Linked DNA regions of Xenopus tropicalis. The protein of the gene in region 1 interacts with the protein of each later gene in a pairwise test. Links are inferred from orthologs where the notes say so. Each region holds a gene or a part of one and is shown in the gene's direction. Other genes may lie near its edges. The genes, in order: appl1, ube2o, adipor1, fars2 and follicle-stimulating hormone receptor-like.

Evidence for each region.
Region 2: the proteins of appl1 (region 1) and ube2o interact in binary tests that used the Homo sapiens proteins (3 or more experiments, as listed by UniProt). The two-hybrid records come from large-scale screens. The link is inferred for Xenopus tropicalis from reciprocal best matches to the Homo sapiens genes APPL1 and UBE2O.
Region 3: the proteins of appl1 (region 1) and adipor1 interact in binary tests that used the Homo sapiens proteins (3 or more experiments, as listed by UniProt). The link is inferred for Xenopus tropicalis from reciprocal best matches to the Homo sapiens genes APPL1 and ADIPOR1.
Region 4: the proteins of appl1 (region 1) and fars2 interact in binary tests that used the Homo sapiens proteins (3 or more experiments, as listed by UniProt). The two-hybrid records come from large-scale screens. The link is inferred for Xenopus tropicalis from reciprocal best matches to the Homo sapiens genes APPL1 and FARS2.
Region 5: the proteins of appl1 (region 1) and follicle-stimulating hormone receptor-like interact in a two-hybrid assay, tested with the Homo sapiens proteins (2 studies listed by BioGRID). The link is inferred for Xenopus tropicalis from reciprocal best matches to the Homo sapiens genes APPL1 and FSHR.

The regions. Positions count from the first base shown.
Region 1 is NC_030680.2:148,669,394-148,675,852, reverse strand, and holds the start of appl1 (DCC-interacting protein 13-alpha), read left to right. Parts: upstream 1-2,904; 5' UTR 2,905-3,040; coding exon 3,041-3,094; intron 3,095-6,459. UniProt on the Homo sapiens protein: Multifunctional adapter protein that binds to various membrane receptors, nuclear factors and signaling proteins to regulate many processes, such as cell proliferation, immune response, endosomal trafficking and cell metabolism.
Region 2 is NC_030686.2:45,268,146-45,274,747, reverse strand, and holds the start of ube2o ((E3-independent) E2 ubiquitin-conjugating enzyme), read left to right. Parts: upstream 1-3,012; 5' UTR 3,013-3,183; coding exon 3,184-3,537; intron 3,538-6,602. UniProt on the Homo sapiens protein: E2/E3 hybrid ubiquitin-protein ligase that displays both E2 and E3 ligase activities and mediates monoubiquitination of target proteins. Negatively regulates TRAF6-mediated NF-kappa-B activation independently of its E2 activity.
Region 3 is NC_030678.2:75,137,122-75,143,053, forward strand, and holds the end of adipor1 (adiponectin receptor protein 1), read left to right. Parts: intron 1-253; coding exon 254-440; intron 441-1,002; coding exon 1,003-1,190; intron 1,191-1,382; coding exon 1,383-1,576; intron 1,577-2,033; coding exon 2,034-2,162; 3' UTR 2,163-4,447; downstream 4,448-5,932. UniProt on the Homo sapiens protein: Receptor for ADIPOQ, an essential hormone secreted by adipocytes that regulates glucose and lipid metabolism. Required for normal glucose and fat homeostasis and for maintaining a normal body weight.
Region 4 is NC_030682.2:88,245,444-88,251,809, forward strand, and holds the start of fars2 (phenylalanine--tRNA ligase, mitochondrial), read left to right. Parts: upstream 1-2,819; 5' UTR 2,820-2,927; intron 2,928-4,676; 5' UTR 4,677-4,683; coding exon 4,684-4,765; intron 4,766-6,366. Other genes in the region: lyrm4 (LYR motif-containing protein 4), read right to left, coding at 1-66. UniProt on the Homo sapiens protein: Is responsible for the charging of tRNA(Phe) with phenylalanine in mitochondrial translation.
Region 5 is NC_030681.2:21,713,590-21,720,290, reverse strand, and holds the start of follicle-stimulating hormone receptor-like, read left to right. Parts: upstream 1-3,069; 5' UTR 3,070-3,119; coding exon 3,120-3,268; intron 3,269-6,701. UniProt on the Homo sapiens protein: G protein-coupled receptor for follitropin, the follicle-stimulating hormone. Through cAMP production activates the downstream PI3K-AKT and ERK1/ERK2 signaling pathways.

The DNA.
Region 1 (6,459 bases):
CTCAGTTCCCTGTAGATCTGGGCGGTACCGCGTAGGCGGAGCAAACAGCTGCGCAGCGGGAAAGGTAAAAGATTTTAGCCCCTCCCCCAGCACCATTTCTTTTCTGCTTGAGGAAATAAAATATTAGGCCTTTCCCCCGACATTTTCTGACATGTTTTTACCCCACTGTCTTAATAAGAAAAGACCCTCATCCTCTTCCTTTCCAACTGAAGGGTGCAGGGAGTTGTAGTTCTAATATAGTCGCCACCAAAGAAGGACACACCGCTGACTGGCATTTGCTGTTTGCGGGGTATGCTGGGAACTGTAGTCCTGAGATAGAGCACCCTGTATAGTAGCGCTCAGACTGACTGAGACCACCGCTATAATGGGAGAGACGACCCCAGGCTCAGCCATTCCCGGGGTAGGGTAGGTGCAGGGAGTTGCAGGGGGTACTGAGATACAGGGGGTACTGGGATACTGGGGGTACTGGGATACAGGGGGTTACTGGGATACTGGGGGTACTGGGATACTGGGATACAGGGGGTACTGGGATACTGGGGGTACTGGGATACAGGGGTTACTGGGATACTGGGGGTACTGGGATACTGGGGGTACTGGGATACTGGGGGTACTGGGATACAGGGGGTACTGGGATACAGGGGGTACTGAGATACAGGGGGTACTGGGATACAGGGGGTTACTGGGATACTGGGGGTACTGGGATACAGGGGTTACTGGGATACAGGGGGTTACTGGGATACTGGGGTTACTGGGATACTGGGGTTACTGGGATACAGGGGTTACTGGGATACTGGGGGTACTGGGATACTGGGGTTACTGGGATACAGGGGGTACTGGGATACAGGGGGTACTGGGATACTGGGGGTACTGGGATACTGGGGGCACTGGGATACAGGGGGTACTGGGATACAGGGGGTACTGGGATACAGGGGGCACTGGGATACAGGGGGCACTGGGATACAGGGGGTACTGGGATACAGGGGGCACTGGGATACTGGGGGCACTGGGATACTGGGGGCACTGGGATACTGGGGTTACTGGGATACAGGGGGTACTGGGATACTGGGGGTACTGGGATACTGGGGGTACTGGGATACTGGGATACAGGGGGCACTGGGATACTGGGGTTACTGGGATACAGGGGGTACTGGGATACTGGGATACTGGGGGCACTGGGATACAGGGGGTACTGGGATACAGGGGGTACTGGGATACAGGGGGTACTGGGATACAGGGGGCACTGGGATACAGGGGGTACTGGGATACAGGGGGTACTGGGATACAGGGGGCACTGGGATACAGGGGGCACTGGGATACTGGGATACTGGGGGTACTGGGATACTGGGGGTACTGGGATACAGGGGGCACTGGGATACTGGGGTTACTGGGATACTGGGGGTACTGGGATACTGGGATACTGGGGGCACTGGGATACAGGGGGTACTGGGATACAGGGGGTACTGGGATACAGGGGGTACTGGGATACAGGGGGCACTGGGATACAGGGGGTACTGGGATACAGGGGGTACTGGGATACAGGGGGCACTGGGATACAGGGGGCACTGGGATACTGGGGGTACTGGGATACAGGGGTTACTGGGATACAGGGGGCACTGGGATACTGGGGGTACTGGGATACTGGGGGTACTGGGATACTGGGGGTACTGGGATACTGGGGGCACTGGGATACTGGGGGTACTGGGATACAGGGGGCACTGGGATACAGGGGGCACTGGGATACTGGGGGTACTGGGATACTGGGGGTACTGGGATACTGGGGGTACTGGGATACAGGGGGCACTGGGATACTGGGGGTACTGGGATACAGGGGGCACTGGGATACTGGGGGTACTGGGATACTGGGGGTACTGGGATACTGGGGGCACTGGGATACTGGGGGCACTGAGATACTGGGGGCACTGGGATACAGGGGGCACTGGGATACTGGGGGTACTGGGATACAGGGGTTACTGGGATACAGGGGGTACTGGGATACAGGGGGTACTGGGATACAGGGGGCACTGGGATACAGGGGGTACTGGGATACAGGGGGCACTGGGATACAGGGGGCACTGGGATACAGGGGGCACTGGGATACTGGGGGTACTGGGATACAGGGGTTACTGGGATACAGGGGGCACTGGGATACTGGGGGTACTGGGATACTGGGGGTACTGGGATACTGGGGTACTGGGATACTGGGGGCACTGGGATACTGGGGGTACTGGGATACAGGGGGCACTGGGATACAGGGGGCACTGGGATACTGGGGGTACTGGGATACTGGGGGTACTGGGATACTGGGGGTACTGGGATACAGGGGGCACTGGGATACTGGGGGTACTGGGATACAGGGGGCACTGGGATACTGGGGGTACTGGGATACTGGGGGTACTGGTATACTGGGGGCACTGGGATACTGGGGGCACTGAGATACTGGGGGCACTGGGATACTGGGGGTACTGGGATACTGGGGTTACTGGGATACTGGGGGTACTGAGATACAGGGGGTACTGGGATACAGGGGGTACTGGGATACTGGGGGTACTGAGATACTGGGGGTACTGGGATACAGGGGGTACTGGGATACTGGGGGTACTGGGATACAGGGGGTACTGGGATACTGGGGGTACTGGGATACTGGGGGTACTGGGATACTGGGGTTACTGGGATACAGAAGGTACTGGGGTTACTGGGATACAGGGGGTACTGGGATACAGGGGGTACTGGGATACAGGGGGTACTGGGATACAGGGGGCACCTGGGGCCACTCAGGGCCAATTCTCAGCGAACCTTCCCCTTAGCGTCATCTTGACAACTTCCTGTCAGTCCCGCCTCTTAGCAACCATACACACAGACAGATCGCTCAGCCGCCCAATAGCAACTTCGCGCTTGTGAGTAACAGCGCGGCTGAGCCAATGAGAAGAGGGTGCGAAAGGCACAAGGCGGGATGTCCGCTGGCAGGGCGCTGCTGTAGAATTCACGGTTCTGTTTACAGTCCCCGCTTGTCCCGCTGCTCCCCGGCCCAGGAACCGGCGCCATGCTCGGCACTGACAAGCTGCCCATCGAGGAGACGCTGGAGGACAGCCCTCAGGTACCGGGGTGTCAGAATGAGGGGAGTGAGGGCTACCGGGAACCGGGGAGGGGCTTGTTGGCCGTGTCACTCCCAGGGAGGCACCGAGAGGGTTAATGAGAGCAGCAGGGGGGGCCGGGGGGGGGAAGGTGGGGCCGGGGGGGGGGGGGAAGGTGGGGCCCGGGTACAGGGGCCGCTGGGGAGGGGCCAGGGCTGCACAGGCTTATGGGGCGGGGGCATAGAACCGACACCAGAACCTCATTGGGCCGGGGGGGGGGGGGTTGGCACAGGGCATAGTGAGCTGGGGGATAGAACCGGCACCAGAACCTCATTGGGCCGGGGGGGGGGGTTGGGTGCTGGGTATAGTGAGCTGGGGGGATAGAACCAACACCAGAACCTCATTGGGCCGGGGGGGGGGGGGGTTGGTTACTGGGCATAGTGAGCTGGGGGGATAGAACCAACACCAGAACCTCATTGGGCCGGGGGGGGGGGGGTTGGTTACTGGGCATAGTGAGCTGGGGGGATAGAACCAACACCAGAACCTCATTGGGGCCGGGGGGGGGGGGGGGGGTTGGTTACTGGGCATAGTGAGCTGGGGGATAGAACCAACACCAGAACCTCATTGGGCCGGGGGGGGGGGGGTTGGTTACTGGGCATAGTGAGCTGGGGATAGAACCAACACCAGAACCTCATTGGGCCGGGGGGGGGGGGTTGGTTACTGGGCATAGTGAGCTGGGGATAGAACCAACACCAGAACCTCATTGGGCCGGGGGGGGGGGGGGTTGGTTACTGGGCATAGTGAGCTGGGGGATAGAACCAACACCAGAACCTCATTGGGCCGGGGGGGGGGTTGGTTACTGGGCATAGTGAGCTGGGGGATAGAACCAACACCAGAACCTCATTGGGAGGGGGGGGGGGGGCTTGGCACAGGGCATAGTGAGCTGGGGGATAGAACCGACACCAGAACCTCATTGGGAGGGGGGGGGGGGGGTTGGCACAGGGCATAGTGAGCTGGGGGATAGAACCAACACCAGAACCTCATTGGGAGGGGGGGGGGGGCTTGGCACAGGGCATAGTGAGCTGGGGGATAGAACCAACACCAGAACCTCATTGGGAGGGGGGGGGGGTTGGCACAGGGCATAGTGAGCTGGTGCATAGCCAAGGGGTGAGACCTGCAGCTGCTGCGGAACCTCTTGCCAAGCAGATTGCTGAACATGTAGGAGTGGGACATGAGGGGTAGTGGGGTCGGTACAGAAAGTCCCCCCTGATGTGGGTCATTTTGCTGGTTAAGGATGGAAGGGAACTGTGAGAGGGTTGGGTTCTGTTACTTATTGGTCTTATTCCTCCCAGCCTGGCATTCACACCTTGGCGCGGTTGCTAGGGTCAGTGGGAGATATAATGGCAGAGAATAAAAGGGAGGAATAATCTGATTTCCCCTTCAGGAAGTAGATTCCGTTTATATAAAGAGTCGTCATTCTTTGCCGTCTGTTGTGATTATCAGAGAAACACTGGGATTTATTGGAAGGTTTGGCTCCGCCCAGAACAAACACTGCGTCCAATCACAGTCACACGTGCACATAAACAGTTTGTATGATAGGATCAGCAAACATCTTCCTTCAGTTTTGGGTGGAGTTCCCCTTTAATAATTCTGCATCCAAAAAACCGCAGCAGTTTATTCCTTTCTCAGCTCAGTAGGTCAGTGACGGCCAATGAGAGCCAGCCTCCGCACAGCTCAGTAGGTCAGTGACGGCCAATGAGAGCCAGCCTCTGCACAGCTCAGTAGGTCAGTGATGGCCAATGAGAGCCAGCCTCTGCACAGCTCAGTAGGTCAGTGACCGCCAATGAGAGCCAGCCTCCACACAGCTCAGTAGGTCAGTGACGGCCAATGAGAGCCAGCCTCCACACAGCTCAGTAGGTCAGTGACGGCCAATGAGAGCCAGCCTCCACACAGCTCAGTAGGTCAGTGACAGCCAATGAGAGCCAGCCTCCACACAGCTCAGTAGGTCAGTGACGGCCAATGAGAGCCAGCCTCCACACAGCTCAGTAGGTCAGTGACGGCCAATGAGAGCCAGCCTCCACACAGCTCAGTAGGTCAGTGACGGCCAATGAGAGCCAGCCTCCACACAGCTCAGTAGGTCAGTGACGGCCAATGAGAGCCAGCCTCCACACAGCTCAGTAGGTCAGTGACGGCCAATGAGAGCCAGCCTCCACACAGCTCAGTAGGTCAGTGATGGCCAATGAGAAGCCAGCCTCCACACAGCTCAGTAGGTCAGTGACGGCCAATGAGAGCCAGCCTCCACACAGCTCAGTAGGTCAGTGACAGCCAATGAGAGCCAGCCCCCACACAGCTCAGTAGGTCAGTGACAGCCAATGAGAGCCAGCCTCCACAAGCTCAGTAGGTCAGTGACAGCCAATGAGAGCCAGCCCCCACACAGCTCAGTAGGTCAGTGACAGCCAATGAGAGCTAGCCTCCACAAAGCTCAGTAGGTCAGTGACAGCCAATGAGAGCCAGCCTCCACAAGCTCAGTAGGTCAGTGACAGCCAATGAGAGCCAGCCCCCACACAGCTCAGTAGGTCAGTGACAGCCAATGAGAGCCAGCCTCCACACAGCTCAGTAGGTCAGTGACAGCCAATGAGAGCCAGCCCCCACACAGCTCAGTAGGTCAGTGACAGCCAATGAGAGCCAGCCTCCACAAGCTCAGTAGGTCAGTGACAGCCAATGAGAGCCAGCCCCCACACAGCTCAGTAGGTCAGTGACAGCCAATGAGAGCCAGCCTCCACACAGCTCAGTAGGTCAGTGACAAGCCAATGAGAGCCAGCCTCCACACAGCTCAGTAGGTCAGTGACAGCCAATGAGAGCCAGCCTCCACACAGCTCAGTAGGTCAGTGACGGCCAATGAGAGGCAGCGCCTACACAGCTCAGTAGGTCAGTGACGGCCAATGAGAGCCAGCCTCCACACAGCTCAGTAGGTCAGTGACGGCCAATGAGAGCCAGCCTCCGCACAGCTCAGTAGGTCAGTGACAGCCAATGAGAGCCAGCCTCCACAAGCTCAGTAGGTCAGTGACAGCCAATGAGAGCCAGCCCCCACACAGCTCAGTAGGTCAGTGACAGCCAATGAGAGCCAGCCTCCACACAGCTCAGTAGGTCAGTGACAGCCAATGAGAGCCAGCCTCCACACAGCTCAGTAGGTCAGTGACGGCCAATGAGAGCCAGCCTCCACACAGCTGAGTAGGTCAGTGACAGCCAATGAGAGCCAGCCTCCACACAGCTCAGTAGGTCAGTAACAGCCAATGAGAGGCAGCGCCTACACAGCTCAGTAGGTCAGTGACAGCCAATGAGAGCCAGCCTCCACACAGCTCAGTAGGTCAGTGACAGCCATTGAGAG
Region 2 (6,602 bases), on another chromosome or scaffold:
CTGCAGCAATCGGCTTAATAAACGGCCCTGTCTGTCTGTCTGTCACTGTGAGCCAATATATCACTTGTATACACATTATTCATAGGTCTGGTGCTGCAGAATTACTGTATGGCATTACAAACAAGAAGTCTGACTCGTTAAACAACAGGGGCAAACTTAGGGGGCTGTTCCTGCTGAATTGTGCTTAGTACAGGGGAATCCCTATGTGCCATAGTTTTATGGTATCTCTCTGTACAGGCTATGGGCAAACTTAGGGGGCTGTTCCTGCTGAATTGTGCTTAGTACAGGGGAATCCCTATGTGCCATAGTTTTATGGTATCTCTCTGTACAGGCTATGGGCAAACTTAGGGGGCTGTTCCTGCTGAATTGTGCTTAGTACAGGGGAATCCCTATGTGCCATAGTTTTATGGTATCTCTCTGTACAGGCTATGAGCAAACTTAGGGGGCTGTTCCTGCTGAATTGTGCTTAGTACAGGGGAATCCCTATGTGCCATAGTTTTATGGTATCTCTCTGTACAGGCTATGAGCAAACTTAGGGGGCTGTTCCTGCTGAATTGTGCTTAGTACAGGGGAATCCCTATGTGCCATAGTTTTATGGTATCTCTCTGTACAGGCTATGAGCAAACTTAGGGGGCTGTTCCTGCTGAATTGTGCTTAGTACAGGGGAATCCCTATGCTGCTATAGTTTTATGGTATCTCTCTGTACAGGCTATGAGCAAACTTAGGGGACTGTTCCTGCTGAATTGTGCTTAGTACAGGGGAATCCCTATGTGCCATAGTTTTATGGTATCTCTCTGTACAGGCTATGAGCAAACTTAGGGGGCTGTTCCTGCTGAATTGTGCTTAGTACAGGGGAATCCCTATGCTGCTATAGTTTTATGGTATCTCTCTGTACAGGCTATGAGCAAACTTAGGGGACTGTTCCTGCTGAATTGTGCTTAGTACAGGGGAATCCCTATGTGCCATAGTTTTATGGTATCTCTCTGTACAGGCTATGGGCAAACTTAGGGGGCTGTTCCTGCTGAATTGTGCTTAGTACAGGGGAATCCCTATGTGCCATAGTTTTATGGTATCTCTCTGTACAGGCTATGAGCAAACTTAGGGGCTGTTCCTGCTGAATTGTGCTTAGTACAGGGGAATCCCTATGTGCCATAGTTTTATGGTATCTCTCTGTACAGGCTATGAGCAAACTTAGGGGGCTGTTCCTGCTGAATTGTGCTTAGTACAGGGGGATCCCTATGCTGCTATAGTTTTATGGTATCTCTCTGTACAGGCTATGAGCAAACTTAGGGGACTGTTCCTGCTGAATTGTGCTTAGTACAGGGGAATCCCTATGTGCCATAGTTTTATGGTATCTCTCTGTACAGGCTATGAGCAAACTTAGGGGGCTGTTCCTGCTGAATTGTGCTTAGTACAGGGGAATCCCTATGTGCCATAGTTTATGGTATCTCTCAGTACAGGCTATGAGCAAACTTAGGGGGCTGTTCCTGCTGAATTGTGCTTAGTACAGGGGAATCCCTATGTGCCATAGTTTTATGGTATCTCTCTGTACAGTCAGTAAATAAATGTTAGCCTATAACTCTAGCTGTTGTCAGTTACTAGCTCTGCCTGCTGATTGGCTCTCAGGGTGGGCAGCACCATGTTGCTGGGCTGGATAAACCTCCCGCAAGCACCCCCAGCAAGTTCCATTGGCAGCTTCCAACAGCCACAATCACGACTGTATGTAACGACAATAACAACAACAGTAATAATGGTAAAAGCTGAATTTACTCACATCTATTGAACTGTGTTATTGTATGTGAAGTTCTTTATCCCCTGGGGGAACCTTCCCAAATAGCCTCATTGTATTGATATTTAATGGGTGCTAATTGTGGGGAGCAGAAATCTAGGGTGGGGGAGGGCCCATATCTTCCCACAATACAAACACATCCAGGCAGGTTAAATGCCTCCTGATGAGCTGACCCGAGTGTGCGCCATGATTGTGCTAGATTGTAAGCTCCTCCGGCGCAGGGCATTGCTATGAATGTTGCACCGTATAATCATAGAGAACATTTTCTCATGGATATTAATCTTTTTCTTTCCAGGATCCCAGATCCATGATGATGGACTTTTATTCTTTGATCTATGATTGGATTTCAGAACCCAGTTTGGATAGTTCTGAGGTAGGTGGTTTGGGGCAGGTTAGTATAGGGGCTGGTGCCTGTGTCTGTTATACAGGAGAATAGAGTATATATAATTATATCCATTGAGTTTAGGGTTTCCGCAATGCTAGAATAGAGCCGGCCGGCCGGGCACCGCTCCAGCCTTTCACTTACAGCATTGCCAGTACTGAGACATTAACAGAGTATTTATACCAGCGCTTTGTAATATTCCCTAGAAATACAAATGCCTTTATCTTATCAGCAGGTCGGTACCCAGTGTGCGGCAATTCCTTTGCTGAACTTGTCCTTGGGTCAGTAGTAAGAGGCTACTTGGGGTATTAATGTGTGTGTAGCTTTACCCCATCACTGTATTTCTCCTTATTGTACTGGGAGCCTGATTGGGGGTGAGACAGAGATGCAGCCAGGGATACACTGGATACTCCTTATCCCCCCGGAGGCTGGGAATGGGGACACCTTGATAAATGCACAAAATGCCAAACAGAAATGGAATCTCCTTATAGTATGTATTTGGGGCTTGACTTTGAACCCAAGAGGGCTCTGCTGCTGAGAAGCTACACAGGCCTGAGTTAGTTCCCGTACTACACCGCTAGGGGGCAGATTATACTAATATGAGCAAACAGTGGGGCATCTCCTGGGGAATGGGCACATTTATTTTGGGAAAGGTATCTCTGCCCCAACTCTGAGCAGCTTTTACCCTATAGCCCCCCCCCCCCCCGCCCTTAATGCAATGCAGTAAGATTTAGTGCTGTTCTGGAAGCCCAGTGTATTATCCCATAGAGACACAGGGAGAGCAATAGGGAGGCTTCTAGAGCCCCGCAATGTGACTGGGGCCAGGCCTTTATAAGCGCTACACACCAACCTTAGCAACAGAGACCCAGGCGTTCCCCTAGCAACAGCATCCTCTCCCCTAGTTACCACGCCGGGCGTGCTGACGTCAGTGCGCCCTTTACGCAGCGCTCTCCTTGGTAACCGCCCCGGCCGGCAGCAGCAGCTCCTGTCTCTTCCCTTCCGGACAACAACAATGGCGGATCCCTCGGACTCGGCTCCATCCTCCGCCTCCCCCGGGCCCCCGGCCGGTGACGGCTCCCAGCGGCTCCTGTTCTCTCACGACTTGGTGTCCGGCTGCTACCGGGGCCACACCCGCTTCGGCCTGGTGCGTCTCATCCACGGAGAGGACTCGGAGGAAGAGGAGGATGCGCTGCCGGGGGAGGAGGAGAGCGGCCCCGGGGGGAGGAAGAAAGGAGCCGGCGGCGCTGCGGGAGGAGGGAGTCCCGGGTCGGAGCCGCCGCTCAGCAGGTTCGGCCCATTAAAGCGCGGATATGTGCGGGTCCAGTGGTACCCGGAGGGCATCAAGCAGGACGTCAGGGAGAACAAGGTAAGGGCCCCCCGGTGTGTGAGGGAGGGGGGGGCACGGTGGGACTGCAAGGCTCGGCCTCTCCCTGGGGCAGTGCCCGGGCATACATCTGCCTTTCTCTACTTACTACTGATTGGCTGTTGTACCACTACTCCCAGCATCCCCCTGGGGCCATGCCCAGGCACGTCCTACAACTCCCAGCATCCCCCTGGGGCCATGCCCAGGCACGTCCTACAACTCCCAGCATCCCCCTGGGGCCATGCCCAGGCACGTCCTACAACTCCCAGCATCCCCCTGGGGCCATGCCCAGGCACGTCCTACAACTCCCAGCATCCCCCTGGGGCCATGCCCAGGCACGTCCTAGGACTCTTTATGCTGATGAACCACAGCCCCCAGTATCCCAGTGGGACCCGTCCTTCAGATCTGGGCCTGGGCTCCCTGTAGTGTCTGTGGCCCTTTCATCCCTCCCTGTGGCCCCGTCAGGTTCAGCAGTGGCTGCCATGGGATGCTGGGTGCAGTCAGGCAGAGGCAGATCTAATTGCCCCCCCCCCCCCATGGCTGCACTGGGAGCAGTACTACAGATGCGCTTCTTGCTAACATTGGGTTTGATGGGCACAAGCCACATTGCTAGGCAGCTGCCGTTAGTGTCCGATTGGTGGCACGGGGGGGGGGGGGCACAGGTAACAGGTGGTACTTTAGGGGTTTAGCTGTTTCTCTGTCCCTAACCCCCCCCCCCCCCCCCAGGCTTTGTATCCCAATGTCTCTCCTGTCTGGGTAACCTCCTATCCCTATTGCCCCTTGCTACAGCCTGAGGGGCCCCGTACATGTCACTCCCTAATTGTGAAGGGCAGTGTTGTTGGGCACAGAGGGTGAATAAATATTGGGGTCCCCTGAGTGTTATGTGTCCCCCATCAGCCTGTCCCTCAGGGCCCGGAACTGCAGTCTCTATGTATGTAGCTGTTGGGCCCAGTGCCTACCCCCCCCGTCCCTAATTCTGGCCTGGGCCCATGTCACATTGGGCAGATTAGGATGGGGGCACGGGTGGTTAGCGGGGCGAGTAGCGGGGGCATGGCCGGGTAGCGGGGGCACAGACGGGGGGGGGCATGGCCGGGTAGCAGGGGCACAGACGAGGGGGGGGCATGGGCGGGTAGTGGGGCACGAGCTGCGGCTGCTGTGAGGCCTGGAATAATCCAGCTGCAAAGTGATGACTGTGCATATGAGCCGGAGGGGGGGGGCGAGATGCTGGGGGGGAATGTAAGTTGGAATGTAAGTGTCTGACAGTATAATAACCTGTCACACTGTGCCTGGTACTGCTAGCCCCCCCCCCCCCCCCATAGCATCCTCAGCATGTCATTGGGCAGCCTGCCAGCCGTGCCCATGTGTGTTTGTACTATGGGTCCTGGCACTGCTGGAGAAGCCTCTATTGGGGGGCCCTCCTGCTGCGAGAGCAAGTAAAGCAAAAACAGTCGCTTGGTTTAGGAGTGGGAGCAGGGTGGGTGGGGAAATACAAAAATAGGGATGGGGGGGGTCACTGAACACATTATAATTGGGGCAATTGCTGCTCATGATTGCCCCCCACACCCCCTCGCATGGACAGGAATAGTGCAGGAGCCGCACTACCAGAATCCTTTGGGGCATTTGCTGTCAATGTGACGACCCTGGATCTGTTGGGGACAAGGATAAACCAGCCGGCAAAATGGGAGGGGGGGGTCCCAAATGGTGAGGCAGTGGCAGATGGGCCGGCTAGGCCTTTGGCTCCCATTAGGCAGGAGGTGATGCTGTACAGAGACACAGAGACATGGCCCCCCCCCCCCCCCCGGGACTGGGTAACTTGTTCCAGATGTTCTACTGGCCAACAAGCAGCCGGGCCCTGGTAGGTGCCAGTCACAGTGCCAGGGGTGTATGTATATATGTGAATACACTGTTATCTGGTAACACTTGGTGGTGTCTGGGGGGGGGGGTGTTACTGGCTGGGAGTGCGGTGATAACACTTTGCAAGGCAGATAAGTCACATGACTGTGCAGAACTGAGCGTGTCTGTTAGGCAATCCAGAGCCGCGGGGGGGGGGGGGGCATTGGGCCGCTGGAGGGTCCCGTCCCAGAATGTGCCCTCACTGTAATGTATCATGGGGGGGGGGGGGGGGGGGCAGTGCTGGGAGTTGGCATTGCAGGGAGTGAGTATAGAATCCTGCCTCTGGCTCAGTTACTCAGCACTTGTACGTGCCGCCCCCGGGGGTCTCTGTGCGCCGGCGAGAGCGTTCCCTCCCAATCCTGGCTGGGCTGGGGCGGCCCCCCTATAGCCGGTCTCGGCAGAGCCCTATGGGGGATTGATAAGACTATTAATAGCCGGGCAGCGGCAGCCTGTGTGGGGGTATTTGCTACAGGCAGCAGTGCGCCTCCTATCCCTGGGAATTGGCACAACTGCTCAGAAACACCCCGGGACTGGCCTTTTATTATATAGCTCAGCCCAACCCTTTCCTTATAGCGGGGGGGGGGGGTCAAATCATAACGTCACCCTTAGATATCAGTGGGGCTCAGGGGCTATAATCTCCCGAATTATTATATATAACGTATTATAGGCACTGAATTCTGCATTATCCTGGTCGGAGTGCGGGGAGGGGGGGGGCTCACCTGGCTAATGGCGCCCCCCTCCCCCCCCCCATTGATGCAGTTTGTCTGCATTGTATCCCAGGAGTGTTCTGGCAGGTAGGGCAATGTTCCACCCCAGGGAATAAGGCACTCGGCTGTTCCAGAGCCCCCCCCGGTTATTGTATTGGTACTGGGGGCTTTTGTTTAGCTGAGCAGCTCCATTGTAATTCCCTGTAACTCACCGGTGATGACTGTGCATTCCCAGGGGTCCCTGTACTGAGAGGAGCATCCCGGGGGGGGGGGGGGGAATGTTATTAACGCTGCGCTGTGTGTCGCTCTGGGAGTCGGGCTGAGCCGGCGGATATTTGGCGCTGTAGGCCCAAACAGGCCCAGATTGGGGGTTTCGTACCTGATATATACATGTTAATGGGTATTGTTTAGAGCTGATACTGGGCCTGTATTACTGGGGGGGTGGGGCAATTAGAAGTACAACTGCCC
Region 3 (5,932 bases), on another chromosome or scaffold:
GGTTTCGATATTGGCGCTTATAAATGTAGTGCAGCGTTTTCTGAAGCCAGAGAACATTCAGTACAATCACCTGTGTTCCCATGTTCCTGTTAATGATGCCTTTGTTGTAAATTATATATATATATATATATATATATTATATATCTTGAAATTTATATATTGTTGCATGCAGATTAGCTTTCGTTGCAAGTGACAAATAATTTACACTAATTTGGTGAGTGTGAACTGTAATAGAAATATATCTACTTTGCAGGTTTTGTACTTTTTCTTTCTCTCGGCGTTCTAACTATGCTCCGCCCCAACATGTACTTCATGGCTCCTTTGCAAGAGAAGGTTGTATTTGGAATGTTCTTTCTAGGTGCTGTATTGTGCCTCAGCTTCTCCTGGCTTTTTCACACAGTATATTGCCACTCTGAGAAAGTATCTCGCACCTTCTCAAAGTAAGTGGAGGGTAGAAAATGGGCTCAAGAATTTGCCAAATTGATTTGTATTATGGGTGGCAGTATATCATTTAGTATTTCTTAAAACTATTATTCCTTACGTAAAAGCTTGGGGTGTGTTTTGCATGCCCTGTTGGGATTCCATTCTTACATTTTTGTCTTGAATTTTATTTTCTGATATTTTTAACTGACTATGCCCCCATTTATATTCTACCACAACTTTGCAGTCTATTGATACATACTTTTTCGAAATTCCTTCTTGACCAGCACCTGTACATTTTTTGTTTTTTTGGATTAGCCCTTTAAAGAGAAAAGGGGTCAAGGCACATGGCCATGTCCAGTTAAAAACCATTCCCCTGATCTGCCAAAAAATTGGCAATCTCCCTTCCCTTTTGGGACCTATGAAACTGGTCTATCAGTACTTCCACCTGTTTTCCCCTAAATCATGGCCCTGACCCCAATTCATTCATTTCAGATCTCTTAATACAACTCATATTGTCTGTTTGCTTCACTTATTCACTTATTGCAAACAAGGAAGTGACAACAAATTTCTATTCTTCAGGTTGGATTATTCAGGGATTGCTCTGCTAATCATGGGAAGCTTTGTGCCATGGCTCTATTACTCCTTCTACTGCTCTCCACAGCCACGTCTCATATATTTGTCTATAGTCTGTGTTCTGGGTATTACTGCAATAGTTGTAGCACAGTGGGACCGTTTTGCGACACCTAAGCACAGGCCAACAAGAGCAGGTAATGTGTTTCCTAAACAGCTTCATAAAGCCCAGCATTCTTGGGTTAGGATTATTTCTGTCAGATGTCATGCTCTCTACATTTGTGCTTATGTAATGTGTACACGTGTATTAGTGGGTGTTGATGTATCCTGTTTGTAATGAAAGATGTCTATATTGCTTCATAGTAACATGTTTTGTTTTGCAATTAAAGGTGTGTTCCTAGGGCTTGGCCTCAGTGGCATTGTGCCAACCCTTCATTTCACAATTGCAGAAGGCTTTGTGAAGGCAACAACAGTGGGACAGATGGGCTGGTTCTTTCTTATGGCTGTCATGTATATAACAGGAGCAGGGCTTTATGCAGCACGAATTCCTGAGCGTTTCTTTCCAGGCAAATTTGACATCTGGGTGCGTATGGAAATTTTCAGAATACCCTTTGTACACTGTGTCTTTAAAGGCTAGTAAATTAATTTAAAAAATAGTAATGATTGTGCTTTTGGTAAAACAGATTATAGATACTCAGTGGCTTAGGTTTGGTTGTTAATAAATATGTGTGGCCTGGGCCAGAGGTATTTGAGGCACCTTGGTATATCAGTATCATAGGCTCTGTTAATCTTTTCTAGATAGCATCTTTGCTGTTCTTTTCCAGCTGAGTGCAGGCAGCACTCGGTGCTTTCCCCTCTATTCCTATGGCTGTGTGCAACATTTGCCTTTAAACATCAGCCAACCTATTTTATGAGAAACTAAATTTTAAGTGCTCAAACTGAGTTTATAAGTATTTAATTTTGTTTTAATATTTTGGAACAATAACATAATATTCACTCTGCATAACAATGAATATTTTTTTTTTTTCCTTTCTCCACAGTTCCAGTCCCACCAAATATTCCACGTCTTGGTGGTGGCAGCAGCATTTATACATTTCTATGGCATTTCCAACCTTCAAGAATTTCGATATGCATTAGAGGGTGGTTGCACAGATGATTCACTTTTGTAAACAGCAGTAACAGATTAAGACTTACTACATCTGGTGACCTACAATGGTTGTGCAAAAAGTGAGCAAGACTGATCCACTAGCCACCCTTTTCTAGATCAATATATAGTATGTTCTTAAAGATCATTGTCTCTGCTAACTCCTTGTTTACAGTAGGAAGGTGCCTAATGTAACTAAGAAAAGAGGAGGAAAAAGAGCTGGGATTTTTTGTACATACTTGAAATACCTCCTGGGACAAAAGAGATGCCATAAGCACTAGTTGTATATTTTGGTCTTTGATCAAAAAATTACAAAATGTAAATTCCAGAAATGTAAGCTGAACAACCCTTGGGAGTCATATTTGAATGGAACATAACCTTCAATGAGGTGCTTGACATACACATTACCCGTTATAAAAATCAGAGGCTTTACACAAGTCACCAACTTGATCAGATCTACACATTCCTCAGAATAGAACCTTTGGTATGTTACTGCTACTGCTGCTGTTCTGGAATAAATCATTTTTCTCTCCCAAGGTTAGAAGGTTTCAGAATTCGGAATATTCATTTGGTGTTTAGGGTAAAGTCTCTTGTGGATGTATATAGGGTAAAACTCTACCATAAAATGTGATGCCTTAGTTATTAATTAAAGTGACTTAATGGCTTCTTATGGTATACAGTAATCTGCCTAAACCAAGATGTTATTAGCATTAACAACTTTATAACAAGGGTTTATTATTTCTTTTTACTTTTATTAGTATTTTTTGCAGATTCAGTTATGGTTCCATTTTTTCTAATATGAGACACATCACATATTACAGAGGATTCCTTATATAAGCAGCTATATATTGGGCTTTCAGGTGTACAGCTTTCTTGGACATGCTCTCTGAAAAGTATAGTTGGGTTGTATATTAATAAGGAGTATCTAAGCATATGGAGTAAACATCTTGCACTTTATAATAAGTATTTTTGTACATTGATAAATATATACAAATTTGGTCTGAACACTGATGCTGAACCAACACAATTCTTACCAAACCTGTGTTCTCTGATGGAAATCCTTTTCTGTAGCTATACAGAGTTTTTCAATAAACACCATATCCCACCAGTGAACAGTGTGTGACTCGACACTGCAAATTTCTGTTCTCTTACAGTGAAAATGGTCATATTTTGTATCATCAAGTATCTTGGTGACTCAGTTTATTTAAAAATATATAGTATACTAACAGACACCGTGCTGCTCCATGCGAAGATAAATATTAAGTCTCCGTGATCCCTAAACTGCTTCTGATTTTTGTTTTATATAATTTACTGTTTAAAGCAAGGTAAATGGCCGATACCTGATTTTCTGTTACAGTGTATTATTTGAAAAAAAAAAAATTCAGTGTGTGAAAACCTCATTCAACAAAACAATTCCAAACAATGACCATGGAAGTTGGTCAGTGGTCAAAAACTGCTTAAATTCATTTAAGGTATTATAGGATGACTATCTACAGCTTTATTGCTCACAGTTAAAGATCTGTTACATTATGACCGTTAATATATGTATAAGATTTTTTTTATCGCAGGGTATTGCCTTTAATATCACATAGAGCCATTTCATCCAGTATTGTGGGTTCAGACCACACATATCAGAGCTGCTTTAATAAATGGGCAAAAAACTGGAGGGCCCACTATTAGCTTTGTAACTCATTTGTAAAAATGAATGAAGCATTGGCAGGCCATTTATTTTAAAATTCTGGACCAAATCAAGATGCTCCAATCGTTGGCCCTAGGGCCAGTGATCAGTTCATAATAGGCTCTTGTGTAGGCTAGTCAGGAGATGACTACATCACGTGCCAACCCATTTTCAAACACTTGCATGGACAGATAAACTGGCGATTCAGTCCACAGGGGCTAAATCAACTCTTTAATTCTGCCCCTGTATGGCCAGCTTCACTTCATATAAGAGTAACTTGAACCAGTTTTGTATTACATGCAGAATTCTCTTTTCCTATGCTTGTAGCTACTATAAGTATGATACATGTGTACCATTGATAATGCTGTTTAATAAGTTTGGGTTATAAAAAATGACCCACTTTTTTATTGCATTACAACTGTTCTTGCAAAATTACATTTGTACTACCCTTGAGAAAAAAAATCTTATTTGCAGCCTGGTCATTCCTCCATTTTGCAATGCCAACCTCATTCTATTCACTTTTATTCTTAACTTTTAATTTAGATTAACAAATGTTGTAAGAAGTTTTCCGGCTACGAAATTGGACCAGAATTGACAGATTTACAGAAACCAATAAACGTTTAGTATGAGCATGTAATTGTTTCTTCTTAATTTCTTTAAGATAAAGGTGGGCGTCATTCTGTACCATTGGGGAGCTCCTCAACCAATATCTGCAGTGATCATCAATCAAAATAGTTAAGATAACCGATATAAGGCAGGCTGACATAGAATCATAATTAAGCCACATGGGGTTCATTCTTAGTCTGTGGATAAACTCAGGCTGAGAATCAGCCTCTATGCTCTGAACAGCTTTCCGATGTGCCTGCACCTGGAGCCACTGTTTCGGACTGGGTGCAGGCACACAAAGGGGCCGTTTCATTAATACACGAGTTCGAATCCTGGATAGGAAAAATTCGGATTGGATACAATAATTTCTGAAGATCGCAAATATCACGAAAACGCTTACGAAAAAATTGTATTAGTCATGATAATATCGTATTGGCGATCCGAAAGTCACAAAATTTTCATACCAAACTAAACAGCGGCAGAACCTTTCCGAATTTTTCTCCCAAGAGTACAATAAAGTCGTGCAAGCCCGGAAAAAATGGCGAAAATACACTCGGAGCGTACATGGAAATGCTGTTTGGAGTGTAAGGACTGATTCTCAGTCTGTTTATCGGCCTTGTGTGACTGTAGCCTAACTTGTTATTAGAGCTAATTTTTCTCTCACAAATAATTTATAAACAAGCACATATATAAAAATCTGTAAAGGTATGTGTATATATGCACTGGGTTTCCCTTGGATGGGTTAAACACCTGTGATCAAGCCTACCTAACTTATCTTTAGTCTGTCAACCAGTGGCAGTCTCTTGTAACTGGTTGTCCTTGACATGCATGAATAATAGGTTCCATGGAGGTAGGCTGCCTCCTTACCTCTACTTTGTAAATTCATCTACCTGGAGAATAGCACAGGGACAGGGTAAACAGGCAATATCATAATTCATACATCTGAAACATAAACTTGTAAATATTAAATTAATTTGGATATAAAAATGGCTAAAAACATCACAATTAAAATAACCTGACTTGCAATCTTACACAGTTTTATAAAATCTCTACACGTTATGTCATGTTATAACATGCTGTGTACAGTATGTTATATGACTGACAATAATAATACAAAAATGAAGTACACAAAAGAATTATTCATGCCCCACCTAAAAATAAACTGGTAAAGCCAGGTGTTTATTAATAAATTCAAACAGCCTGCTTCTAGTTTATAAACTATCACAACTACCCTAGTGGTCAAAATGCGTATTTCTGAATATTTGAACTGAGTGCCCACATAAAAGAGAAAAAGTGTTTAATCTCCTAAAATTCATAGGAATGCTGTGTGTATTGGTGTATCCCATGATTACACTATCATCTTTTATCAGTGGTGAGAGAGAACACAAAGTGCTATGCCCAAGACCAAGTATCTTCGGTATGCATGGTACGTTAAAACAAAAATATCTTTGAGACATACAGTATACAGCCACATTTTGAGAGAGCTCTTTCTGGTTACAGGAAAGCCTGTG
Region 4 (6,366 bases), on another chromosome or scaffold:
CCTCTGGCTTTCTCTTAGCATAATCTTGTAGAGAGACAACACTTGTGACCGGCTGGAGGCTGCCATTTTTCAAAGATTATGTGATTCTGTTTCAAAACAACAAACTTTTATTACTTCGAGACTCTCCAGCATTAACATTAAAATATAAAGCAATATAAACAAATATAAAGCACATTGTAATAATTGCAAATATAAAATAACTTTGTGGCAATTAGACATTATATTATTCTTTTCAATATTATATTGATCATATATTCATGGTAATTCATTTTTTTAAATTAGAAGATGTTAAGATGTTAGAAGACAGTTTGCAACTGGTCTTTTTCTAGCCTTTATTTACATGTCCACTTTCTAACCTCTTCGAGTATGTCCTTAGCGTAACTGGCTGAGGCCACAAGCACACTACCATTTGTGATATACATCTGTATACACAATTCTGGGGGCACTCAAAACACATCTTAAAAATTAAATGTTACTGTCATGCAGTTCAACTGGATATGCTTTTTATATAAAACTCCATCCCAGGTAGTGATGTCATGTATGCAATTTAACCAACTTTATATAAATCCTTGCCTTATCTGTATATTTTGAGAGTGAAGTTTGGTGCATGTTGGGTGAATGGCTATATATGATCTGTGAACAGCTTACATTCTTCTAAAATCGAGGAAAAATGAAAGTGAAAAATGTTAGCTCCTCCTCTTGTATGGGATCCAATTTTTTGCACAATAAAAGAAAATGTAATTATATGTAACTTTCCAATATACATTTATTGAACAATTTTAACTTGTACATGCAGTTAAAATGACTCATGGTACATCCAAATTAAGAAAGTGATCACACTGTGATTAGTACAGTTGAAAACCAATCCAATTTCAATGTACCATAAATGTGCATGAGTTCTTGAAGAAGCCACGATGGAAAAATTATATTAAATATGAAAATAGCAAAACAAATATGGCCTCAAAATAAATCTGTTTTCTATTGCCTAGCATAACTGACCCTGATAAACACCTTTAGTATGCAGATATTGATAAAGTCAATTTGCATTTGGTCTTCATTTTTTATGGTTTTTTATTTATTAAGCTTTTTTTGTTCAGCAGCTCTCCAGTTTGGCATTTAAGCAGCTATCTGGTTACCAGGGTGCAATTTACCAGTGATTGATAATATGAATAGAAAAGGGGCTGCATAGAAATAAAGGTAAATAAAAAAAACCCAATAATAATAAAATTGAAGCCTTACAGAGCAGTAGTTTTTTTTAAATCTGGAGTCAAAATAAGAAAAAGGCAAATAACGCTGGAAAATAAGAGAAAAGGCACAAGTTACATAGCAGATAACAGATAAGCTCTGTAGACTCTGTTATCTGCAGTGTAACCTGTGCCTTTGCTCCAATTTTCCAGTTTAAATGACTGCCCCATGGCTACACAGCAGAGTATTTTTAAATTACAGTAGTGTTGCTAAAAGCAAACACGCAACTTTTTCTAGTGCAGAGTAACAGTACCTTCATACGTTAATTACTTTGATACATTTTCATTTTTTGGTGTTACTGTTCCTTTCTATTCCTAGCAACTTTGCATTTGGTCTTCATTATATATTACAGTTTATTAATTATTTGCCTTCCTTTTCTGCTTCTTTTCAGCTTTTAGATGGGGTCCACTGAAACTGCCACACAAAAATCTATTGCTTTCTGAGGCCACAATTTTGTTATTGTTACTTTTTATTACTTATCTTTCTATTTAGTCCTTTTTATTTCCCAGTCTCTCATTCAAATAACTGACTGGTTGCTAGGTTAAAAACGACCCAAGCAACTAGATAGCTGCTGAAATACCAAACTGGAGAGCTGTCGAACGAAAACCTAAATAACCACAAAAAATAAAACAATGAAGACCAAATGCTAATTGTCTCAGAAACACTCTTCAAAACTATTCACAGGGCCAGAGAGATGTTAATAGAGTACTTAATGGATAGGAAAGCCACATTTTTTTGACTGCAGTTTAAATGTGAATATTAACATTTAAACTGCAGTACAAGAGAAACATATTTTCTCTTTTCACAAATTTATTTTTTTTCCTTTTGAAAAGAGGTAAATGTATGACATGAGTTGTAGTTATCTCACAGTGCCAGTTGCTGAGTAGATATTTCACAATGCCAGTCCCTGAGTATAGGGAATATTATGGTTTTACATGACAAATCGTGACAGCTCTGTAACTGAATTTTCTTACAGCTTAAACTCCATGTCAGTTTAATACGGAGTTAACATACAACACTGAGGCTTAAGCGTGCAGTGCGAATTAATCCTGACACAGGCTAATAATAAATGCTGAATATTGCACTATTACAAATAGCGCTGGGGTGCAATAAGTAAATAGAGCCTTAGGAAGATGCAGACACTCACACTCCCTATACAGTTGATAGGTGAACCAGCGTGAAAGTCTCTTCCCTTCTTTCACTTCTTGCCTACTTTCAGCAGCTTCTAGCGCAAGAACGCATGACGTCACGACTACAGGAGGGGATCTGGGACAAACGTGTTCGTGCCGCGTTTTGCTTTCGGTTGGAACTTTTGTGGTATTTTCTGTAAAAATGCTATTTGCCTAAAAAGCGCCTACGGCAAGTTGTTCCTCTTATCGTAACAGTCATATGTCTTTGTAATATCAGTGCTAAACTTTTAAATATTAAAGATACCTAAATCGGCGATCTATGGAAAATGAGAATGTCGTCGCAGCTGCGAGCGTTGGACCAATAGGGCTTTCTTTTAACACGTTTCAGGGATGTTAGAGTAAATTTACGCCGCTGACATGTTTGTCCCAGGTCCCCTCCCGTAGCTGTGACGTCATGGGCTCGTGTGATAGGATCTGCTGAAAGTGCCAAAGGAGGGAGAAAAGGGAAGAGACCTTCACATTGTCACATAGATTACCTGCTGCTTAGGTCGTGTGAGTGTCTGCACCTTTAGAACTATATGTTAAGCTATGTAGTAATAACCATTTATTGTATAAATATATATGTAGGCTACGTAGTAGATCTAATTATATTAGCTGTTTTAATACATGCTTTATATTACAACCTGTATTAAACTGGCAAATAACGTCAATACCCCCATCTTTAAACTATAAATGTTTTAAATAGGCAGTTCAAAGTGTATAGGAAATCTGTTCTTCATTATTCTTTATTATTCTTTAATATATCATACTCCCAGTACCCACTATTGGCAACATTTGGCTCTGCAGTTGTTGGGAGAATTGTGTACACTCACACACTTAACAGTTATACATTTATTAAAAATGTACTTGCAACCAATCTGTATTCTTTAAAAATACAGACAGTCCATAAGTAAGGAAGAAACACTCCCACAAGAAGACTCACTCACCATACCTGCACACATGCATTTAAAATTATATTGACACATGTATGATTTAGAGTGGCTCTGTGTGCTGCTATTAATGCATTTAGTAACTAAGCAGCATTTACAGTTTTTGTGTGATATTGTGTTGTAAGAACTAAAAACAAGTATATAGGTTCCTAATTGAGAGATTATGTTGGCGCCATATTTATGCGCTACCCATATTGCCATATACATTTAGGGGCACATTTACTAATCCACGAACGTCCGAAAAGCGTCCGAATGCGTTTTTTTCATAATGATCGGTATTTTGCTACTTTTTTGAGTGCTCAATACGAAAGTCGCGACAATTCACGAAATTTGTAATGGCAATGAAAAAGTCGCGACAATTCACAAAAGTCATAATAGCTATGAAAAAGTTGCGACAATTCGCGAAAGTCATACTGGCTATGAAAAAGTCGCGACAATTCGCGCAAGTCGTAACGGCTACAAAAAAGTCGCAAAAAATACGAAAAAGTCGCAAAATGTCCGTTTTCCAATCCGAATTTTTCCCATTCGGATTCGTGGATTAGTAAATCAGCCCCTTAGAGTAATAATTGTAGAAAACCATTGCACAAAAACTTCCAGCTTTGGCTCTGCAACACATTAATATACAACAATGTTTTAGGTGAGTCAAGCATGCCAAGTCTGCATTCTTTGCCTCTTTATTAAAACAAATTTAGCAGATATTTTTGCAGCTAATTACAGGTATGGGACCTGTTATCCAGAATGTTCGGGACCTGGGGTTTTCAATAATTACAGTAATTAAACACAATAGGATTGTTTTGGCTCCAATGAGGATTAATTCTATCTTAGTTGGGATCAAGTATAAGGTACTGTTTTATTATTGCAGAGAAAAAGGAAATCATTTTAAAAAAATGCAACTTATTTGATTAAAATGGAGTCTTTCCGTAATTCGGAACTTTCTGGATAATGGGTTTTCGGATAAGGGGTCCGAGACCTGTATTAGGGATGCACCAAATGCATAATTTCAGGATAAGGCCAAATACTGAATCCATCACTACAGATTTGACTGAATTCTGAACTAATCAGAACCCTAATTTGCATATGTAAATGCATGTTCAGGTGAATTAGATCCTGAAAAAATGGCTGGAATTTGGCAAAATCAGTGCATACTTAGTAGTGATGAACTGATACCTGCCTGTGTATTTTTTAATTGAGAACATGACCAGAAGCTGAAAGATATAACTTTAACAGTTCTATAGTTATCATACAACAACATAATTTATTGACTTTATGTTTATTTAGTGTAGCAACTCCAATAGCATTTATTTTTCTGCAGATTCCAAATGGATGTAAGAAAATATATTCTGTCAGGACTCAGGAAGCATTTATGGTCTTGTAATTCAGGAATTGGTGGAGTAAGCTTAGGTAAGAAAGTATATCAATATATACATTTTCTGTATGTTTGAGCTTATAGTTGTCCTTTATTATTCTCTACACTTGACAACACTACCTAGCATATGATCTATATTGAACATATTTAGGTTCACTCTGTACGTCATATCTTACAAAATAGGAAGGAATGCATTGGAGAAAACATGAACATACATTTAAGGTTTGTGTGCATTTGTTGTGTGTTTTTTTTGTTACAACTGAGTGAAGAAGAAATGTTATTGTAGCTTTTTACTGGCATTGACTTCTTTCTGCTGCTTCAAAGCATTTATTGTGGCACAAGTAGCCTTTAGGCCATATTACTACTACAGCTTACTATTAACGTTCTAGATATTTTTTCATCTCCATTTTAGTTTAGCTGTTTTCAAATAGTTCATCAGAAATGACTTTTATTAAGTGAGATTGATTGGTTTGAGATTTAGGTTTAGTTTAATTTTCCCTTTACAGGTTTAAGTAAAGGGGGCAACTAAGTAAGCGAGTGGGCACAGACTCTCTAAACTCTTAAGAAAGAAGGAAAGGCTAATAAAGAGTTAATCTCAAGCTGCAGGCATACCTTCAATTGAATTGCTGAAGATCACAACTATCACGAAAATGGTTACGAAAAAATCATATTAGTCACGATAATATCGTATTGGTGATCCGAAAGTCACAAAATTTTCGTACCGAATGATTGTAAACAGCGGCAGAAGCTTTCTGAATTTTTCGTGCAAGTGTACAGAAAAGTCGCACGGACGTACGAAAAAGCTGAAAATATGCTCGGAACTATGAGTTAGCTTCCTGCTGATTGGCTCAGATCCACATTCCTAAGGGGGGGAGTGAGTTCTTAGCATTCTTGAGGGAGGGGGGAGCAGGAGAGAGGAGACAGCAAAGAGCTGCGTGTCTCTGGCAGAGGAATTACAGACACAATAAATCTTTTCACGGAGAAGTCAGTGCAGCATTTCTGTGAGTGCTTATGGCTGTATTTACATAGACCTTTCTGATAAAGCTTACTTAGTTTTTACCTTTCTTTCTTCTTTAAGCTAATGTTAGACTAAGCTTTTTTTTTTGTTGTCAGAAAAAACACAATTACATCCTTACGACACCCCATAGCAAAGACAGAAATGGCATGAGCCTGTCTCTACACACACAGCATTTTCAGGCTGACGTCTACCCACTGTGTCCAATAACAAGCTGATGTCATTACTGTCACAAGGAGGCGGGAAGCATTCTTGTTTTCTCCACTGTCATTTTTCAGAATGCAAACAACATTCTTAGTCTGACATAAGTCTTTTCTTCATTAGTTTATACTTTTTTTCAGCAGCTTCAGAGGAAAGCCAACAATTGATTTACAGAGTCAAATGTAACAGCTGAGTTTAGTAAAGCTCAGGGAACATTTACAGTAGGGGTTGAAGCTGCTGCAGTTAAAATGGGATACAGTAGTTTATATATTTCTTAATAGTTTAGTTTAGTCAGTCAGCCACTGAGTTTCTGGGGAATATAATTAAACTTTAAATATTGGAAGTATGGTAAAAAAAAAATACAAAGCAACTACAAAGAAACATTATTTGGTTTAGGGCTCCTTTCAGCTGATTTTGACC
Region 5 (6,701 bases), on another chromosome or scaffold:
GGAAGGGTTAAACTATGAGGTGAGACTGTCAGGGTTGGGGTTGTTTTCTCTGGAAAAGAGGCGCTTGCGAGGGGACATGATTACTCTGTCCAAGTACATAAGAGGGGGTTATAGGCAGATGGGGGATGTTCTTTTTTCCCATGAAAACAGAGCCCCCCCTCCTTTATATAAGAGGAATTGAACTTTCATTTGAAGCAGCGTAGGTGGTTTTTTACAGTGAGGGCAGTGAGGTTGGGGAATGCCCTTCCTAGTGATGTGGTAATGGCAGATTCTGTTACTGCCTATAAGAGGGGCCTGGATGAGTTCTTGAACAAGCAGAATATCCAAGGCTATTGTGATACTAAAATCTTTATGTATGTGAGTGTATAGATAGGTCAGTGTGGGTCTGTATGTGAGTGGATAGATAGGTCAGTATGAGTCTGTATGTGAGTGGATAGATAGGTCAGTATGGGTCTGTATGTGAGTGGATAGATAGGTCAGTATGGGTCTGTATGTGAGTGGATAGATAGGTCAGTATGGGTCTGTATGTGAGTGGATAGATAGGTCAGTATGGGTCTGTATGTGAGTGTATAGATAGGTCAGTGTGGGTCTGTATGTGAGTGGATAGATAGGTCAGTATGAGTCTGTATGTGAGTGGATAGATAGGTCAGTGTGGGTCTGTATGTGAGTGGATAGATAGGTCAGTGTGGGTCTGTATGTGAGTGGATAGATAGGTCAGTATGGGTCTGTATGTGAGTGGATAGATAGGTCAGTATGGGTCTGCATGTGAGTGTATAGATAGGTCAGTGTGGGTCTGTATGTGAGTGGATAGATAGGTCAGTGTGGGTCTGTATGTGAGTGTATAGATAGGTCAGTGTGGGTCTGTATGTGAGTGGATAGATAGGTCAGTGTGGGTCTGTATGTGAGTGTATAGATAGGTCAGTGTGGGTCTGTATGTGAGTGTATAGATAGGTCAGTGTGGGTCTGTATGTGAGTGGATAGATAGGTCAGTATGGGTCTGTATGTGAGTGGATAGATAGGTCAGTGTGGGTCTGTATGTGAGTGGATAGATAGGTCAGTATGGGTCTGTATGTGAGTGGATAGATAGGTCAGTATGGGTCTGTATGTGAGTGTATAGATAGGTCAGTGTGGGTCTGTATGTGAGTGGATAGATAGGTCAGTGTGGGTCTGTATGTGAGTGTATAGATAGGTCAGTATGGGTCTGTATGTGAGTGGATAGGTCAGTGTGGGTCTGTATGTGAGTGGATAGATAAGTCAGTATGGGTCTGTATGTGAGTGGACAGGTCAGTATGGGTCTGTATGTGAGTGGATAGATAGGTCAGTATGGGTCTGTATGTGAGTGGATAGGTCAGTATGGGTCTGTATGTGAGTGGATAGATAGGTCAGTATGGGTCTGTATGTGAGTGTATAGATAGGTCAGTATGGGTCTGTACGTGAGTGGATAGGTCAGTATGGGTCTGTATGTGAGTGGATAGATAGGTCAGTATGGGTCTGTATGTGAGTGTATAGATAGGTCAGTATGGGTCTGTATGTGAGTGTATAGATAGGTCAGTGTGGGTCTGTATGTGAGTGGATAGATAGGTCAGTGTGGGTCTGTATGTGAGTGGATAGATAGGTCAGTATGGGTCTGTATGTGAGTGGATAGATAGGTCAGTATGGGTCTGTATGTGAGTGTATAGATAGGTCAGTATGGGTCTGTATGTGAGTGTATAGATAGGTCAGTGTGGGTCTGTATGTGAGTGGATAGATAGGTCAGTGTGGGTCTGTATGTGAGTGTATAGATAGGTCAGTGTGGGTCTGTATGTGAGTGGATAGATAGGTCAGTATGGGTCTGTATGTGAGTGTATAGATAGGTCAGTATGGGTCTGTATGTGAGTGGATAGATAGGTCAGTGTGGGTCTGTATGTGAGTGTATAGATAGGTCAGTATGGGTCTGTATGTGAGTGGATAGATAGGTCAGTATGGGTCTGTATGTGAGTGGATAGATAGGTCAGTGTGGGTCTGTATGTGAGTGTATAGATAGGTCAGTGTGGGTCTGTATGTGAGTGTATAGATAGGTCAGTATGGGTCTGTATGTGAGTGTATAGATAGGTCAGTGTGGGTCTGTATGTGAGTGTATAGATAGGTCAGTATGGGTCTGTATGTGAGTGTATAGATAGGTCAGTGTGGGTCTGTATGTGAGTGGATAGATAGGTAAGTATAGGTTGTGGGTGCTGGGTTTACTTGGAAGGGTTGAACTTGATGGACTCTGGTCTTTTTTCAGCCCTATGTACTATGTAACCCTGATAGTGCTTGGGAGCAACATGCTCACCAACCCCACTGAATGTTGCACCTAGTGGCTCTAAAGCAGGTGCTTATTTTTTAATTTCTGCCTTGGAGGCAAATATGGGTTGCATAAAAACCATGCTTACTGGCAAACAGAGCCTCCTGCAGGCTGCCAGCCCATATAGAGCTACTAAATAGTCATTTACAGACTGTATTTGGCACCTCCAGGAAACGTTTTTATGCTTGTGTTGCTCCTCAACCCTTTCCACATTTGTATGCAGCTCACTAGTAAAAAAGATTGGGGACCTCTGTTGCAGAACATGCATAAATATGCCATAAATCCCTATGGTTTTGGTAATTAAAACTTGTGTTTCCTTTATTTCAGGATGCAGGTATTGTCCCTAAAGGCAGCGTATTTATAAAAAAAAACAGCATTGGCAGAAACTTCAAGGACAGCTCCAACTCCAGCTAAACACCCTGTCCCTTGCTCTGAAATAATAAAACTGTTAATATTACACATTCAGAGTCGTGTAGAAATGCAAAACACTCCCTGCCCAACTGATATTGTTGTCTTTGGGTCCGCTCAGGATTAACTTCAAGGTTACGTCGCAGCCAAAAAAAAAAAAAAAAAAAAGCCTTATACATTGTTACCAACAGGGCTTTCTATTGATAAATAGTGATCCCATGGGGCTTGGCTGGCTTTGCCCGGCACGGAGTATGAGTTAGGAAATTAGCTGCTCGTTGTCAGGCACGTTACACCTCTTTTGAAGGCGGATCTTAAAAGTCTTCCCTCTCTCAGGAAACTGAAGTCTGAACTTGTTTAGAGCACGAGAGGGACATCAGATGTAGACAGAATGCCTCTTATTTTCGTCTGCATGTTGTTTTGTTTGCAGCCCTGTTTTGGATGCCATGCTGTTTGCCAATGCATGGGCAGAAGTTTTGTCTGCCAAGAAAACAAGATGGAACAGATTCCAAACAATATCCCCAGGAATGCCACTGAATTGTAAGTCTTGGGATTCAATCTTATTGGAGTTATTATGTCATAATGCCACTCATGGTATATGTAAGCCAGATATACACTATATATATATATACAGGTATAAGACCCGTTATCCAGAATGCTCGGGACCAAGGGTATTCCGGATAAGGGGTCTTTCTGTAATTTGGATCTCCATACCTTAAGTCTAATAAAAAAAAAAACAAAAAAAAAAAACCATTAATTAAACCCAATAGGATTGTTTTACATCCAATAAGGGTTAATTATATCTTAGTTGGGATCAAGTACAATGTACTGTTTTATTATTACAGAGAAAAGGGAATCATTTAACCATTAAATAAACCCAATAGGGCTGTTCTGCCCCCAATAAGGGGTAATTATATCTTAGTTGGGATCAAGTACAGGTACTGTTTTATTATTACAGAGAAAAGGGAATCATTTAACCATTAAATAAACCCAATAGGGCTGTTCTGCCCCCAATAAGGGGTAATTATATCTTAGTTGGGATCAAGTACAAGTACTGTTTTATTATTACAGAGAAAAGGGAATCATTTAACCATGAAATAAACCCAATAGGGCTGTTCTGCCCCCAATAAGGGGTAATTATATCATAGTTGGGATCAAGTACAGGTACTGTTTTATTATTACAGAGAAAAGGGAATCATTTAACCATTAAATAAACCCAATAGGGCTGTTCTGCCCCCAATAAGGGGTAATTATATCTTAGTTGGGATCAAGTACAGGTACTGTTTTATTATTACAGAGAAAAGGGAATCATTTAACCATGAAATAAACCCAATAGGGCTGTTCTGCCCCCAATAAGGGGTAATTATATCTTAGTTGGGATCAAGTACAGGTACTGTTTTATTATTACAGAGAAAAGGGAATCATTTAACCATGAAATAAACCCAATAGGGCTGTTCTGCCCCCAATAAGGGGTAATTATATCTTAGTTGGGATCAATTACAGGTACTGTTTTATTATTACAGAGAAAAGGGAATCATTTAACCATTAAATAAACCCAATAGGGCTGTTCTGCCCCCAATAAGGGGTAATTATATCTTAGTTGGGATCAAATACAATGTAATGTTTTATTATTACAGAGAAAAAGGAAATCCGTTTTAAAATTCTGAATTATTTGATTAAAATGGAGTCTATGGGAGACAGGCTCACCGTAATTCGGAGCTTTCTGGATAATGGGTTTCCGGATAAGGGATCCTATACCTGTATATAGAAATCATCAATATCATGACAAAGTATAAGTAACCTCAAGATATTAAACTCCCTTTACTGATATATAATATTTATCCTGAATGATTGTATAAACCTATTCCTTATAATAATTATATAAAACCCAGGGTAGTGACTGTATCTATAAGATCGACCATATATCATAAGGGTTGATGAAAACATAAAGAGAACATTCTTTTTATGTCGGGTTGAATCTATTTTTATATCTAGAAGTTTTCTTTTTCCCCCACAAATTCTAGGAAACGCATTTTGTACGTGTCGTTATAGAGCTCAGGGTGACAGGAAAAAGCTAATGTTGCGTTTGTAGTGTTTATCTTGTAGCGCGTCTTATCAGCCTTAAGGACGCATGTTTACTGTGATGTCAGCGCAGTAAGTGGTGTCACTTTTTATAGATACAGAATAGAGGCGAACATTCCAAGTCCTCCCACACAGGCAAGCAGAGCTGAATATATAAATGACTTTTTTTCAGAGAGAAAGCTTCAGTAATATATGGAGAGAGAAAAAGTATCAGTAATATATATATAATTTTTTTTTTGAGGTCTTTTTAACAACGCCAAAGTGTATTTATTGGTTAAAAAACAATAAATACACCTGTAGAGTGCTGTACTTTGCAATATATCTATGCATTATTGGCACTTTGGCAAATGATTTATTTTTGAGGGTATTATCCTTTTTTGTATTATACATATAATATTTATAACCCAGTAGAATAGTTTTAACTCCAATAAGCATTATTCTGTTATATTAAGGATGATTATAATGGATTATAAAGGATATGTTAGTTGGGATCAAGTACAAGGTACAGATATGGGACCCATTATCCAGAATGCTCAGGGCCTGGGGTTTCCGGATAAGGGATCTTTCCGTAATTTGGATCTCCGTAACTTAAGTCTACTAAAAATCATTTAACCATTGAATAAACCCAATAGGGCTGTTCTGACCCAATAAGGGGTAATTATATCTTAGTTGGGATCAAGTACAGGTACTGTTTTATTATTACAGAGAAAAGGGAATCATTTAACCATGAAATAAACCCAATAGGGTTGTTCTGCCCCCAATAAGGGGTAATTATATCTTAGTTGGGATCAAGTACAGGTACTGTTTTATTATTATAGAGAAAAGGGAATCATTTAATCATTAAATAAACCCAATAGGGCTTTTCTGCCCCAATAAGGGGTAATTATATCTTAGTTGGGATCAAGTACAGGTACTGTTTTATTATTACAGGGAAAAGGGAATCAATTAACCATAAAATAAACCCAATAAGGCTGTTCTGTCCCCAATAAGGGGTAATTATATCTTAATTGGGATCAAGTACGGGTACTGTTTTATTATTACAGAGAAAAGGGAATCAATTAACCATAAAATAAACCCAATAGGGCTGTTCTGACCCAATAAGGGGTAATCATATCTTAGTTGGGATCAAGTACAGGTACTGTTTTATTATTACAGAGAAAAGGGAATCATTTAACCATTAAATAAACCCAATAGGGCTGTTCTGACCCAATAAGGGGTAATTATATCTAAGTTGGGATCAAGTACAGGTAATGTTTTATTATTACAGGGAAAAGGGAATCAATTAACCATTAAATAAACCCAATAGGGATGTTCTGACCCAATAAGGGGTAATTATATCTAAGTTGGGATCAAGTACAGGTACTGTTTTATTATTACAGAGAAAAGGGAATCATTTAACCATTAAATAAACCCAATAGGGATGTTCTGACCCAATAAGGGGTAATTATATCTTAGTTGGGATCAAGTACAGGTACTGTTTTATTATTACAGAGAAAAGGGAATCATTTAACCATTAAATAAACCCAATAGGACTGTTCTGCCCCCAATAAGGGGTAATTATATCTTAGTTGGGATCAAGTACAGGTACTGTTTTATTATTACAGAGAAAAGGGAATCATTTAACCATTAAATAAACCCAATAGGGCTGTTCTGACCCAATAAGGGGTAATTATATCTAAGTTGGGATCAAGTACAGGTAATGTTTTATTATTACAGGGAAAAGGGAATCAATTAACCATTAAATAAACCCAATAGGGATGTTCTGACCCAATAAGGGGTAATTATATCTAAGTTGGGATCAAGTACAGGTACTGTTTTATTATTACAGAGAAAAGGGAATCATTTAACCATTAAATAAACCCAATAGGGATGTTCTGACCCAATAAGGGGT